Linked DNA regions of Astyanax mexicanus. The protein of the gene in region 2 purifies or fractionates together with the protein of the main gene of each other region. This does not show direct contact. Links are inferred from orthologs where the notes say so. Each region holds a gene or a part of one and is shown on either strand. Other genes may lie near its edges.

Evidence for each region. Proteins that work in one complex are often made in the same cells at the same time.
Region 1: the proteins of stk40 (region 2) and trib1 purify together in Homo sapiens (affinity purification with mass spectrometry; 3 studies listed by BioGRID and IntAct, counting the BioPlex papers as one, with this or other methods). This does not show direct contact. The link is inferred for Astyanax mexicanus from reciprocal best matches to the Homo sapiens genes STK40 and TRIB1.

What each region holds. Positions count from the first base shown.
Region 1 is NC_064410.1:43,228,743-43,235,616, forward strand, and holds the start of trib1 (tribbles homolog 1), read left to right. Parts: upstream 1-3,862; 5' UTR 3,863-4,263; coding exon 4,264-4,590; intron 4,591-6,874. UniProt on the Homo sapiens protein: Adapter protein involved in protein degradation by interacting with COP1 ubiquitin ligase. The COP1-binding motif is masked by autoinhibitory interactions with the protein kinase domain.
Region 2 is NC_064413.1:33,630,277-33,637,236, reverse strand, and holds the start of stk40 (serine/threonine-protein kinase 40), read left to right. Parts: upstream 1-3,948; 5' UTR 3,949-4,177; intron 4,178-6,960. UniProt on the Homo sapiens protein: May be a negative regulator of NF-kappa-B and p53-mediated gene transcription.

The DNA.
Region 1 (6,874 bases), on a different chromosome or scaffold from region 2:
GCCTGTCTTGAAGTATTTCCCCTGTTGATTCAGCTGCATACCAAGCATTATTTCTTTGTTTATTTCTGTGTATGACCTATTTTTTTGTCTGGCCCCTTTAGCTAGTTTACCTTGGTATTTTTGCTCTGTTTTTGACCCTTATTTTTCATCTGTCATTTATCCCTCTTTTTTGGTTCTGTTTTTACCTTAGGCTGTAATCAGGCTGCATTTCTTTGGTTCTGCCCTGTATATTAAAGTCAGACTTTTTTAACTGCAAATGTCTCACTCCAGTCTGTGGTGTTACAATATTAATACATGTTAATAGTTAATGTGAATGTTTCTGAATTCAGTTAATTAGAACAATCAACAATACAATATATTATAATATAATATACAATAACATGTTTTAATATATGCTTAATACACATTGAGCTTGGCTTGAGTGTTAGAATTAGAATAAAACATTCCAACCTTATATCTAAAACACAGCTACAGCTAAACATACAAGTCTTAATGCAATAATACGGTTCAAAAAGCTATGATGTAATATAAAGGATGCACATTGCAAACTGCAAAAACAGCTCTTTTGTATACATTGCAGCACACTACAAGGCAGGTGATCAACCAATCAGAGCAAAGTTATTTACACATAAGCACAGCAAGGTTTATTTAATTTCTTTTTTTCATTTTAATTAACTTCTTAATTTAGCTAACCAATTTAACCCACCCACACATTGGGACTCTCTCTATCACTTGAACTATTGCCAATGAGTCAGTATGCTCGGAAAAAAAGCTCCCAATTCCAGGAGACCAGCTCTGATACATCAGAGAACAGATGCCTGTGATGGCCAGTATGACTGTAAGAGTGATAAGGAAGAAAATGCCAACGTTGATAGCCCAGAATGACCTGGGATTCACACTCGTGATCCTTCAGGTCATAGTGACTTATTTGGCTGAGTCACTCAAGCTGGTTTGCTTCTAACAATAAACTTACAGTCCACTTGCACTTTTCTCAATGCATTTCACCACGCCAGATCTCTTGGGTCACCACATGTGGATGTGTCTGTATTTTTTTTTTTTTTTCATGAAAATGAAGCAAACCTAGAAGTAGGCAAACTTTATTTGTAAATTAATCATATTTTTATTCTGGAAATCCAGATGCTGATGATGTAAGCTGTTTCGTTATGTTTGAAAGACATTTGTTCTGTGCATGATGCTATGATATAATATGGTATGATGCACCAACCTACTCTTTCTTGATTATACACAATGCGACCAAATTCATTCCCAGGCTGCCCTTACTCAATATGACTTGTCATCCACTGTGCACATATGGAGGCTGTCCTCATTAGAATAAATATAATACAGTGAAGAGGCAAGTGAAAATTTTATGTTTTAGCATAGGGGTTCTCAATTGGTCTCAGCCTGGGACCAATTTTCTCATGGTCATTAAGTTGCAACCCACTTTTATAGAACACACTCCAAAATTGTTTTTAAATAGCCTCAAAAAAACAATTTAAACATACATATGCTCGCAAAATGAATTTAAGAGCATTTTTTTCTAATAAACTGAGGAGGAACATGACAACTACATAGGTTAAAAAAATAAAAACTGCACAAAATAAAAAAAGGCCACACTGAAGTGTTTGTTTTTTTTGTGCACCAGGAGTGGCATAAATATATCCAAAAGCAGTGTGTAAGACTGGTGGAGGAGAGCAGCCAGAATGCATTAACACTGTGATTAAAAACCAGGGTTATTCCACCAAATATTGATATCTGAACTCTTTATGACTCTTTATATCTGAACTTTATGAACATGAACCTGTTTTCTTTGCATTATTTGCGGTCTGATAGCTCTGCTTTTTTTTTGTTATTGCAGACATTTCCCCTTTTCTGCAAATAAATCCTCTAAATGACCATATTTTTATTTGGAATTTCGGAGAAACGTTGTTTGTAGTTTATAGAATAAAACAACAATGTTAATTTTACTCAAACATATATATATATATATATATATATATATATATATATATATATATATATATATATATATATATATATATATAAATAGCAAAATCAGAGAAACTGATTCAGAAACTGAAGTGGTCTCATTTTTTCCCAGAGCTGTGGGTGAGAAAAAAGATCCTACAAAATATTACATACGGTCTTGTTGTCTATTTGTCCTGTCTTGATATGGGCCTTTAATTGGGCCAATTCACAATCTGTAAAAACACTGACCTGTCCAAACAAAAATGATCTGATCAGAACTCATCAGCTTATTGCTAAGGCCTTCCTGGATCAAGTGGATCGGGTGTATCAGTTCCTAAAATTAAGCAGGGCCTCCATGCAAGGGTCTCCTGCACAGACATCAGGAACCCCTGATTTAAGCCATGCAAACCATCTGAATCATAGACTGTATATAAAGATGGACGTCGTGTCGCCGTTCCCATTCATTCAATGAAAATGAAGCCAAAATCTTCCGCCATTTTGGCGATTCAGAGACCAGAGTCTGCACAGTAGAGACCAGAGGAGGGAGAAAGGCTGTGGAGAGACCGCCTACTCATTTAAATAACCCCGCCCCTGAGGGCTGCCTCGCGGTCACAGACTGCAGAGCGGGGCGGAGCGGAGCTGACGGTCTGTTATTGGTCCCGCCCATAAGCAGCCCTTTTACCATAACCACACCTTTTTTGAATAGAGCCGAATAAAGTTTTAAAAACTGAATTCTGTGGGGATATAAAAATTTGACAATATAAGCAGAGGTTACACTAGCTGTTGCATTTAAATAATGGAGGTAGAATTACAGTATATTAGAAAAAAACGTGATTGAAAGTTGTCTGTTTTGCCATTGAAACCTATGGGGATGGGTGGAGTTACACAGCTTTCTGCAGCCGAACAGCAGGGGGCGCCCGACCTGTGGTGGCTTCACTTTTAAGAGACGATGCTCTGTCCAGCTATATACAGTCTATGATCTGAACCATGTTAAGCGCTTGGCCTACAAAAGGCACCTCACCACTCCCCAGCTTTTCCTCTCAGAGCAGAGATGAGTCACATGAACAAACAGGCATCGCTTAAACATTCCTCTAACGTCCACCATTGCTGCAGTTTCCTTTAAAACAGATGCACTGTACACAGGCAGGAAAGCGCTGGAAATCACGGAAAACGCCTTAAAGAATTTGAAAGCTGTGCCGCATCTGAATGAATGATGAATTAACGAAGAGAAAAACAACAGCAGAGCAGCAGTGCGTTTCGAAATAAACTAGGTTAATCATTGCCCCAGTGCCACACACGTGTTTCCACGAGGAACACATTCAGTGAAAGCTGTGTGTTATGAAGGCAGGCTTCAGTGTTGTTAATGTTGTTCTCCTGTGAGATACATGATATGGGATATGTGCAGGAGCAGCAGCAGCGTGTCAGATAAATCCTGTACATCCTGCAGCAGTTCATAATTATTACTATCTGAGAGTGGCAGCAGAACCAAATGATGAAAATGATAAAAAAAAAAAAAAAATCTAACTGAAAGTGGAGTTTTGTCATTCACCGCGACTCTGCTTGGCTACGTGTGGCTGATTGCTCAATCAAGCTGAGCTCATTATGTGACATGGGAAAAGCGAGCTGAATGGCGTTAGGTGGTTTATTTTTATATTCCACCCGTTTTCAGCAAACCCCGCCTCTTGTGCATTCTTATTGGCTGGCAGCATCCAGCCTCCTGCTCTGTACCTTATTGAAAAGCGCTAGTAATTAGTACTACAAGTGCGTGTAGGTGCGTGTGAACTACTACCGGCCAATCCCAGTGCGAGAGGCGGACGCTGCTAGCCAATCCGCTTGCGTGGAGGGCGGGGTGTACCGCAAAACGGGTGCGTTCGAAAAATAATAACGCCGCTCTAAGCGGGCGGAGTTCCAGCTGTCGTCGTGTGCGAGAGCTTCAACATCACACGGGCTTTTTAACGGAGCGGCTGCGGAGACCGGGGGTTTCTGGAGGTCGTCTCTGTTTGTGTTTTGTTTCCTGGGATCAGCTGTCCGTCCACACACTCCAGACTCGGCCTGAGTGATGGACTGAACCCGCTGAAGCGGCTAAAAACAGCTTTGTTTTGCGACTCGACTCCACTTTTTTTTGTCTTTCAGCGAGAAAAGTTAGTTTAGCTAGTTAACCTCTCTATTCTGCAGGAATATATGACTGTCTGAAGTCGTGAATGTGACACCACGGAATACCCCCCTTTTCCAAGGACTGACACCCACCCCCTTTTACCCCTCTTTCACCCGCTCTTTTACCCCCTCGGCTCCACCATGGTCGTGCACGGCTGCAGCGGCACCACCACCACCAGCAGCCCGGCGCCCACCTGCGCCCGGCCGGGCAGACGCGCTCACAAGCGCCTGGACAGCGACGAGCCAGTGGCTAAGTGCCCCAGGCTGAAGCTGAACGAGGCGGCTGCGGGCGACCCCGCTGCCCTCGTGCCCTCTCCGGGATGTCCTCCGAGCGGAGCCTCCCCGGGGTCACCCCCGGTCCCCCAGGGTCCGTCTCGAATCGGCCGCTTCCTGCTGCTGCCCCTGGCCGAGCGGGCAGGGCTCCACAGCGCGCTGGATACAGTGACCGGAGAGGAGCTGCTGTGCAAGGTGAGCTCAGCTATTTAACTAGTGTTTTGACTGACTCCTGGTCAGCACTGAGCGGATCAAACATCAGCATTATGATAATGAAGTGTAGTAATGCATTTATGCTATGCATTAAAATGACTCTGGTGTATCTGGTGAATAAGGTATGCACTCTATATATATGCTATCTATAAGGTGCAACGTTATATATATAGGCGTATATACTGTATACACTCATTCATTTCAATCATATGATGAATCATATATCATATATACATTGAATCATCTATACACTGTGCAAACAGTTCTAGCTATACACTGCAGGGCTGTATGAGTGGGAAGAACCTTGCAATAAATATCATGATACATGACGATAGTGTTATATGTTGCAATGCTGCAAACAAACCAGAATACCACAATTTTTAAACAATAGAAAGAAATTTCATGGAAATTCTCACAGTATAAATACACACCACAATATACATATTCTGAGGAAGAGTAAAGTTTGTTTTATGCAGTCTGAATATTGATACTATGTTGTTGAGATCAGTTTGATCAGTTGAATCAATCTGGGAAAAAAATTGGAGACCATTTCAGTTTTTGAATCAGTTTCTCTGATTTTGCTATTTATAGGTATATGTTTGAGTAAAATTAATTTTTTTTTAATTCTGTACACTACGGTCAACATTTCTCTCAAATTCCAAATATAAATTTTGTCATTTAGAGCATTTTTTTTTTTCAGAAAATGAGAAATGGCTGAAATAACAAAAAAGATGCAAAGCTTTCAGACCTCAAATAATGCAAAATGCAAAAATGTAAGCAGTTAAACTTGGTTTAATCTTAATTTAATTTCAAAGGTTTAATTTGGTAAAATCAATTTAAATGGTAAAATAATTTGTAAGTGGTCTCTTATTTTTTTCAAGAGCTGTAAATATATTGTTTCTTACACTCCTTATAAAAAGGTTGATTACATGGAGCAAGGCCTGATTGCACACATCACTGTTTGAGGTGTGCACTGTGCAATCAGTGATTCACACTGTAGGTAGGATTGGGCAATATTGCAAAATTATTATATCCTAATACTCAAAGAGATATTGTATCTGTCCAAACGATCCCAAACAAAAATCTCTTCCAATAGAAATCAATGTAAATCGATTTGATTGAAGTCAGTTCATTCGTCATTTATACATCAGGCACTCATGCTAGATTTAAGCTATCCCACAATGTGAAAAACTGTGTATGGCAATAATTATATGCATAATTTTGATACATAATCATCATGCACTGGTGGTGCCAGATTTAAAAACCATCAAAAGCTCCGGTACAACAGATGCAATTGGCTTTCAATTAATCAGGACTAATTATGCCATCAGTAATTAATTACACACACAAATTGAGTTGTTCACTATGCACTGTCAGTAGCCATGGAATGCTCAGAAACCATATTGTCACAATAACAACATTTTACCATCATATTATCCACCTCTGCTTCAAACCAAAGCATTTTGTGGAACCAACTGCTCAGATTCTTCTTAGCTCAGCAGTATTGCTTTGCCAACAATTATTAATTCGCTTCATGGCACAGTTCCGTTTTTTTATTCGTTTTTTTTTAGGTAGGGATCTTCACATATGGTTTAGCACATAAAGGATATAGGCTAGAGCAAATTCAATGTGTGTAAAATGGCCTTTCACTCAGAACATTTCACTCAGAGCATTTCACACACAGTCATTTCACCTGCCTGCTACTCCATGCAGTTCAAACTCTCCAACCCTTAGCTTTAAGCATAGCAAAGACTGGCATGCTTCCTCTAATCTTAGTGATATTGCTTTGCCAAGCATTAAACGCAGGCATCACTGCATAACAAGGTCTATTTTAGACCTAGAAGCCACACATGCAACCCATATAGGCTGCAGCAGATCCAAGCGATGTGTAATTACCACTAAATGTGAGACTTCACACCCTCCATTGTGTTGATAGGAGTTATTTGCATGCGTCAGCCACAGAGAGCTGAAAAAGAAGAAAATATTTCAGGCAAACCAAGGCTGGCGTCGTGCACAAACAGAAATAGACATTGTGCCTTACACTATAAATGGAGAAGTGGGGTCAGGCTGATTAAACAGCCAGCAGTCATTGATCCCTACTTGCTGATGAGCACTGTGGTGCAGGCAGGCAGATGAGGCTAAGCCTGGCCTTCAACAGTAAGCTGTCTCCATCTGACAGGGCGAGGGTTAGTCTCTCATTCTGTTCACATTAGATGAGTTTTTTTGAGCATGATCTGTGCTGATTAAGAGTCTATATTACGTTTAA
Region 2 (6,960 bases):
GTGATGATCATATAATGATATAAAATCCTTAAAGCAATCTTTTAATACCACTGATTTTGTTTAACCCAATGGCATTGTTGGTTAAAATATTTTATTTTCTGAGTGTAAGTATGTTCTATCTACAAAGATACATCTCCTTATTCTAAAAAAAATAATTACTCTTAATGAATTTAACATTTTAAAATATAAACAATAATGTGCCATGTGCAAAAAATGAGTGGCAAGTGAGCATGCTTTCCCACAAGGGAATGAATGTAAGTGCAATTCATTCATTTATGTGTAGGAGAAGGATACCTCTCCCACGACTTTACAGATGAATAAAGGGTTTTTTAGAATTGCTTATTAGAAAAGCCATCAAAAGACCAACTGTCTGAGCAGCGTGGGTGAATGAGAGACAGTGGGCAGTAGGACATGATGACTAGCCTGAGTGGTTAGCCAATGATTCGTGTGCACTGTTGCAGAAGCAGATTGCATCGTCTGTTCTGAACTAGAGTATAATATGACAGGTTATTAAGACTTTTTGATGGAACATCAAATTGAGCATTATATTCTTAATATGCTTTATAAAGATAAGGTTATGCAATGCAGTGTTTCACAATCCTTGTCATGGAGGCACACTTCCCTGCCTATTTCAGTGTATTTTATTTTAAATGTGCTGTTTATGATTCTGGAGAACAACTTGTTGATATTTAAACTCATTAGCATGACAAACACACCCTCTCAGTGCTCCTTCAGAAGCTCTACATTTTTAAATTCTTGCATGTTGTGGATTAGTTAGCTGTTGTTACAGTTGCTGCTGTTAGTTGTTATAATTTATCACCAACATTTGCAAACTGAACAAAACAAAACTATTTCTTTGGAATAGCAAACATAAGTAAGTATCAAGAGAGAATAGAGCAAGTTCCGCATTCCTTGTCATGCCTTTCTACACATTGAGGTCTCTATATATATCTTCATCTGATTAGTGTTGTGTAGCTCAGTCTGAGCCATTATGTTTGTATCCTAGAGTTGTGTATGAACACAGTTCTTTTCCAGCGAGTTAACAGACTGGGGAGCTAGCTATCTGCATGGTAACATTTGCTTAATTTTACAATTAAGGTTTACTGGATTAATATTTTATGCAGCATCTTTAATTGAACGTAGAGTGTAAACGTGACATTAACAAGGGTTTACATTAAAAGGTTTGCAACTCTTCTAATCAATTTTGACCCAACTGGCAAGATGATCCAAAAACTATACGACTACCTAATGCATTCCTTTATGATCATTCTGTCACCTTATAATGGAGTATATGGTGTTGCAGACAGTTTAGAATCCTTCAGTTGCAGTTAAAACTGACCACTCAGGCTATTCATCATGTGCTACTGCCCACTGTCTCTCATTTACTCACAGGACTCTGTATGCACACACGTGAATAAACAGTATGTTTGTGTGTGTTTTTTGTGGGTCTGTGTAACAGCATTATTGATGAGTCCTCGCCATGACATGTGCAATGAAGTGATGATGCTGCCTTCTGCATTTCTTTGTTTCTGTTAGCCTCAGTTGTCCAGTATTGCCTTTCAGTTTATCTGCGAACACTTTCAATGGAGGACAGAGTAACAATTCGAATCACCATGGTGACAGTAACTATGCTGTGGCGTCAGAGAAAAATGAGAACAGTCCAGGCACGTTTTAGACCCCCACATCACGGCTTCCAGTCACGCACTCTCATAATAGCCATGTGAAAAAAGAGCTGTCAAAACATGCTGAGGCAATAGGTGGTAGGACTAGACACACTTACCTCAGCCCACAGTGCTTCTCTTTACACTGCTGTACAGCACTGTTTCTGTGCTGCATCATTTTAAACACTGATCATTTGAATTCTGATACAATTTATTATTTAATTAAAATGACTTTTTTAATCATTTTTCACATAAAAACTCCCTTTGGGAGAAATCAGTTTTTTTTTTCTTAACCCATTAGGGTCCTTATCCAGTTCAAAATTGGATCATTGGTAAATTAACTGAGAAGCTCACTCATGTGTTTTCTTTTTGTATAAAGAGAGAACATGACTCTAAATATTTTAATCTTTAAACACTAATGTAACAGAAATTATACAATTTCATAACGTGTATTTGTTTGACATTCTGTTCTAGAGTTTGTGTCACAACTAGTTTGCATGTAAAACATTTAAAACATTTGTATTGTAAAATGGGTTGGAACAGACCTAAAGAAGCAAAAAATATTACGTGAAATCTAATCTCCAGCACTAACCTAGCACACCTACATTCTGTAAATAAGGTCAGATAAGCACAGTGACACACTGTCCTAATGCACACAGGATGTTCAGTATATGTCACTTAGGTCTTCATAAGTTTATAAAATCAAGGACAGACTGCTGTAATGAACTTTCACAGCTTTTTGTAAAGGTCTGTGACATATGCATGTCACCATGAGCTCTTTTAGTGCTCTGTTGTGCTTTATATATACATATTTCTTCATGCATAAATGCACTTAACTTAAATAGTTTGTGGGAAATGATTGAAATATGTTTTTGTCTGAAAGGGTCAAATAATGAAGTAAATGTATGTAAAGGATGTATGCAACACTGTACCCTTTTCCTGTTATGCATTCTTTTTATACTTTTCTGTCTCTCCTTACATTACCCATGGGTCGCCCACTCTCACAGTATGATTCAGTCAGTTTCCACCCTGAAAACTGTGGGTTGGCCAAACCTAAGCCACAGGCTGATAAAAATGTTTCATGTGGCTAAAAGCAAATGCTGTGCTGAGTCAAAGCAATCAAAAAGAGTTATGACCCTTTAAAAGAACGACATGTATTTGACAAGCTACTGCTTACTAGTCCAGTGCTCTGAATTAGAACAAGCAGCATGGGTGGGGTTCAGTTGAGGAACTGTTGAACTATCTGAAGGGTCTTGCACATAGAATAAATGTAGTAGTAGCAATATTTGATTAATTAGAGAAAGCACTGAATAGCTTTCTCTAATGCTTGTGTAACCTGATTTTTTTGCATGTGTGGTACCTGTCATAATTTTGTATCATTGCATTTATAAAAACACATTATTCCAGATGAAGGCAGCAAAACAATGTAAGAATTATTTATTGATTTATGGTGTACAATGCACTAGTACAGACATTTGAGAAGTTTAAATTAAACTATATGGACAGACTTATTGGGACAAATGTCTATTCATTGTTTCTTTTAAATTCAATAGTATTAAAAGGGTATTATTCTGTTGTCTGCAGTCCAGGAAAGACTTTCTACTTGCTTTTGTATTTGATGATTATTTGCTATAATGATTTGATTACATTCAGCAACAAGCATGTTACTGTCAGGATGTTAGAAGGTCACCACCTCAACTTATCTTTAACTGATGGAGCACCACCATTCCAGATAACACACCACAGCTCCACAGCTAGCCCATACCATTATACATGGTGCCAATAGGTTCATGTCCATCTTTACATGTTTAGCAGTAAACATCTTCTCTACAAGGGCTGGACAAGCTGTGTGCATGTGTGTGTGTGTGTGTATTTGCCCATCTGTGTCAGCAAAGGGTAAAACTTTGCTTACAGTAGCTGGATGCATCATTTATTAGAAGAAGTGTCCACATATGGACATACATATAGACATCACTTAGTGATTAAATAATATTAACTTCTTAAACTCATTCTAACTTGTATTCCCTTTTTCAGAAGACACCTATGATATGGCTCAGTGCTGTATACATATATTAATAAATCATCGATATTGGTAAAGAAAAACTGAGCAATAATCAAATCATAAATCACTCAGTGTATTCATTATTCTGTTGTCTTATTTCCAGTTAAAGACAAAAGGCCCGAAAACGAGTTAGACTTATTGGCTGAGCCGGTCGGGAGAGGAGGGTACTCGCCTCTGATTGGGTTAGTCGGGCTGCCCCTTACTGTTCGTGCGTCATTTCCGTTGTCAGGTGGTGCTGCTATGGAAAGATGTGATCAGTCCGACGGGACGAGGCTTTTCAGCGCGGCGACGCTTCGCTTCTCTAACAGCGGAATAAAACCGTCCTTTCTCCCACACAGCGCTGCGCGGCAGCGAGCCGACTGTTCCTGCGCCTCTCCTGAGTCCTGAGCTGAGATGGCGGCTGCGGTTTAGTAGACGGCAGAGGATCCCTCCCCCCCGGCGATTTGATCTCGAGGTGAGTGAGTGAGTTGTTAAATGGCCCGTCAGTCCGTCGAGAGGCGGCGAGCTGAGCAAACCAAACCAAGCCATAACCCAGCTGAACTGGAGCTGCAGAAACCGGCTTACTGCCTTCATAGCTTTTGCCGCATGTTTCACTCTGCAGGAAAAACTTAATTATTGTAGTAAGTTATAATGTTGAAAACCGAGAGGAGCTCGACCCTTACAAGTTCAGCTGGAAAAAAAGACAGAATAAAGTGTCGGCTGCAAACGAGGCAGCTAACCCCTTAGTTATTCTAGCTACCTTAGCTAGCCTAGTAGCTCAGTGCTCAAAACAACCCGGTGTTCTGTCGAGTTATGCTACTCATTCATATGTACTTCTTTACAGCACTGCTCATGCGCTAACCAACCTTTTTTTGTACTGTTTGTTTTTCATGATCATTCCGTGAGTTTTTATTGAGAGCATTAAACAACCTGCTCAGATGTTAAAACAATGTAAAGCAGTTAAAAATAATAATTAACTACAAAAAACTATAACTATAAAAAATACGGTTTCTAATCAAGTATGTGATTTTATTTTATTTTTTTTATTTTTTTACTTTAAGGTACTTGACAGTGATTTAGCCTATTCACATATCCTACCTAGTATTTTCCAATAAGGTGCTTTTTCTTGGTACTTTTACCGTTTTATATAAATTAAATACTACCAGGGTAGCACAGTTGAAGAAGGTAGCACAATTCGACACAACACCGGTCTAGTTTGTTCTAGAGGCGGAGCGGCAGTAAACGCTAGCTAAGCTACTTCACTAACGTAAAACTGACATTTTACGTCCAGTGTTAAACTAACCTAACGTTAGCTGCAGAGCTAACGTTAGCTAACTAGTAAACACTGGCCTGTTTATTCAAGCTGGATTGTAAGTTAGCTATACTATGATCTGTATACAAACACCCAGCGCGGAGCAGAGATCTCATTCCTCCTGTGACTGATGTGTTAGCTAGCTAAGCTAACCTATCTACAACTCTAGCTAGCTATTTACCGTTAACACTTAACACTGTAGCAGCAAGCTAGCGTTAGCATCATTTGATCCTTAATGATGCGAGCAAACCAAGTCCTGTCTCAGTTTAACCAGTTACGTTAGCTAAATATTGCAATAACGTGCGGGTCTCTAATGCAGTTTTAAAAGTATGTATCGCTGTAGGGTGAGCGACATTTTTTTGCTAGGAATAATACCAGATCCAACTACAGATCGTTTAAAGTCATTCTGACTAAACAATCTAAGCTACCTGGTCACCATATCCTTACTGTAAAATCTAGCTAGCTAGCTAGGTTAGTTCCTTGTCTAAATATTTGCAACTACATTTTTTGTTGTGAAAAACTGTTATTAATGTTTTGTACTTTTGAAATGTAGCTTAATTATCTACGGATTAGAGGGTCTGAATTTCTTTATAAATCAATAGCAACATAGGACCAGTCAAAACAACATTAACGTTATATGTAAGTTAAGTTAATAGATCTGTTTTTTTTGCGAGTAAATATAATTGCTGTGGAGGGAGCTGATATCTTAAACATGCTACTAGTGGAAACTGAGTTAGCGTTAGCTAAACTTGTGGTTAACTTTAACCTGACAACATAATGACCAGCGACCTGCAAGCTGACGCTTGCCTGCAGAAGACCGGTAGCTTTAAACGTTAGCCAGATAGTTAGTTAGCTGGTTAACTAGTCTAGCTACACTTGTCCCTGTTGGCCTAGTTGGAATTTAACTAACTCTGTTAGTGTTTGGTAAGAAAACTGCTTTACATGCAAGTGTTAACTAGCATTGATTGCCACACGCTGTGAAAACGTGTGCCTGACTCTAAATTTAGCTGCCTCGGTAGTGACACGGCCATTAATGAGCCAAAGCGCATTACACTCAGATGAATTACATCATAACACCACAACAGCCAACTTGCTACACAGTGTAGCACACGATTAAACACTCATGCAAGCATACAAGCATAATAGAAATGACCGTGAAATGTCTTTAATAAAGCTAGTTAGTTGTACCTGATTGTTATGCAATCTGCACAGCCTTTCACCCTCTACAGACTAAATAAGCAACCATACCATCCATTGTCTGAAGTCTTGAGAAGACAATTGTTGTACCTTTTTTGTTTTTGTATTTATACTGTTTATTTCATTCTTACAATACTGTCTCTTACTGCAAACATTGCTTGAATACATTTGCACTGAGGCTATAAGGCTAAAATGGCAAACATGTAATGGATTTGTATCCCCACAAGAGAGGGACAGATTTTATATCTATAGTAGTCTGACACAAAAAAAAATCAACAGTTGGAGCAGCAGGCTTCAGAAGTGGCCGCACTACTTGTTAATTATTTGTACAAGTTTGTTTTTCTGCATGTCATTCTTTTAACGGAGGTAAACATCATACAGTGGTTGGTTAACTCTTCACATGAAGTGTCCTCAGATTGGACTCTGATTTATATATCCTGGTTTTGAATGCTTGTGCAACATGCAGCCTGCCTTCTATAATTCCCCTTCATTTCTTTTTGTGCTTGATGTAAACACATGGTTTCATTTAGGAGCGGACAACAATAGTGGCTGAAATCTTGCTAGATAAAGCATGGGCATGGTGTCACTGGGCAAAGCTGTCACGCAAAAATCTGTTAATATCTCAAAGGGTAATGACCATGTGATCATGTCTGTCATCATGTCTGTCACATTGTCGGCAGTCTGGAGCTGGAGGAGAAAAAGAATCCCTGTCGAAAGTGAGAATTTATGTACGGCTGCAGCCAAATGAA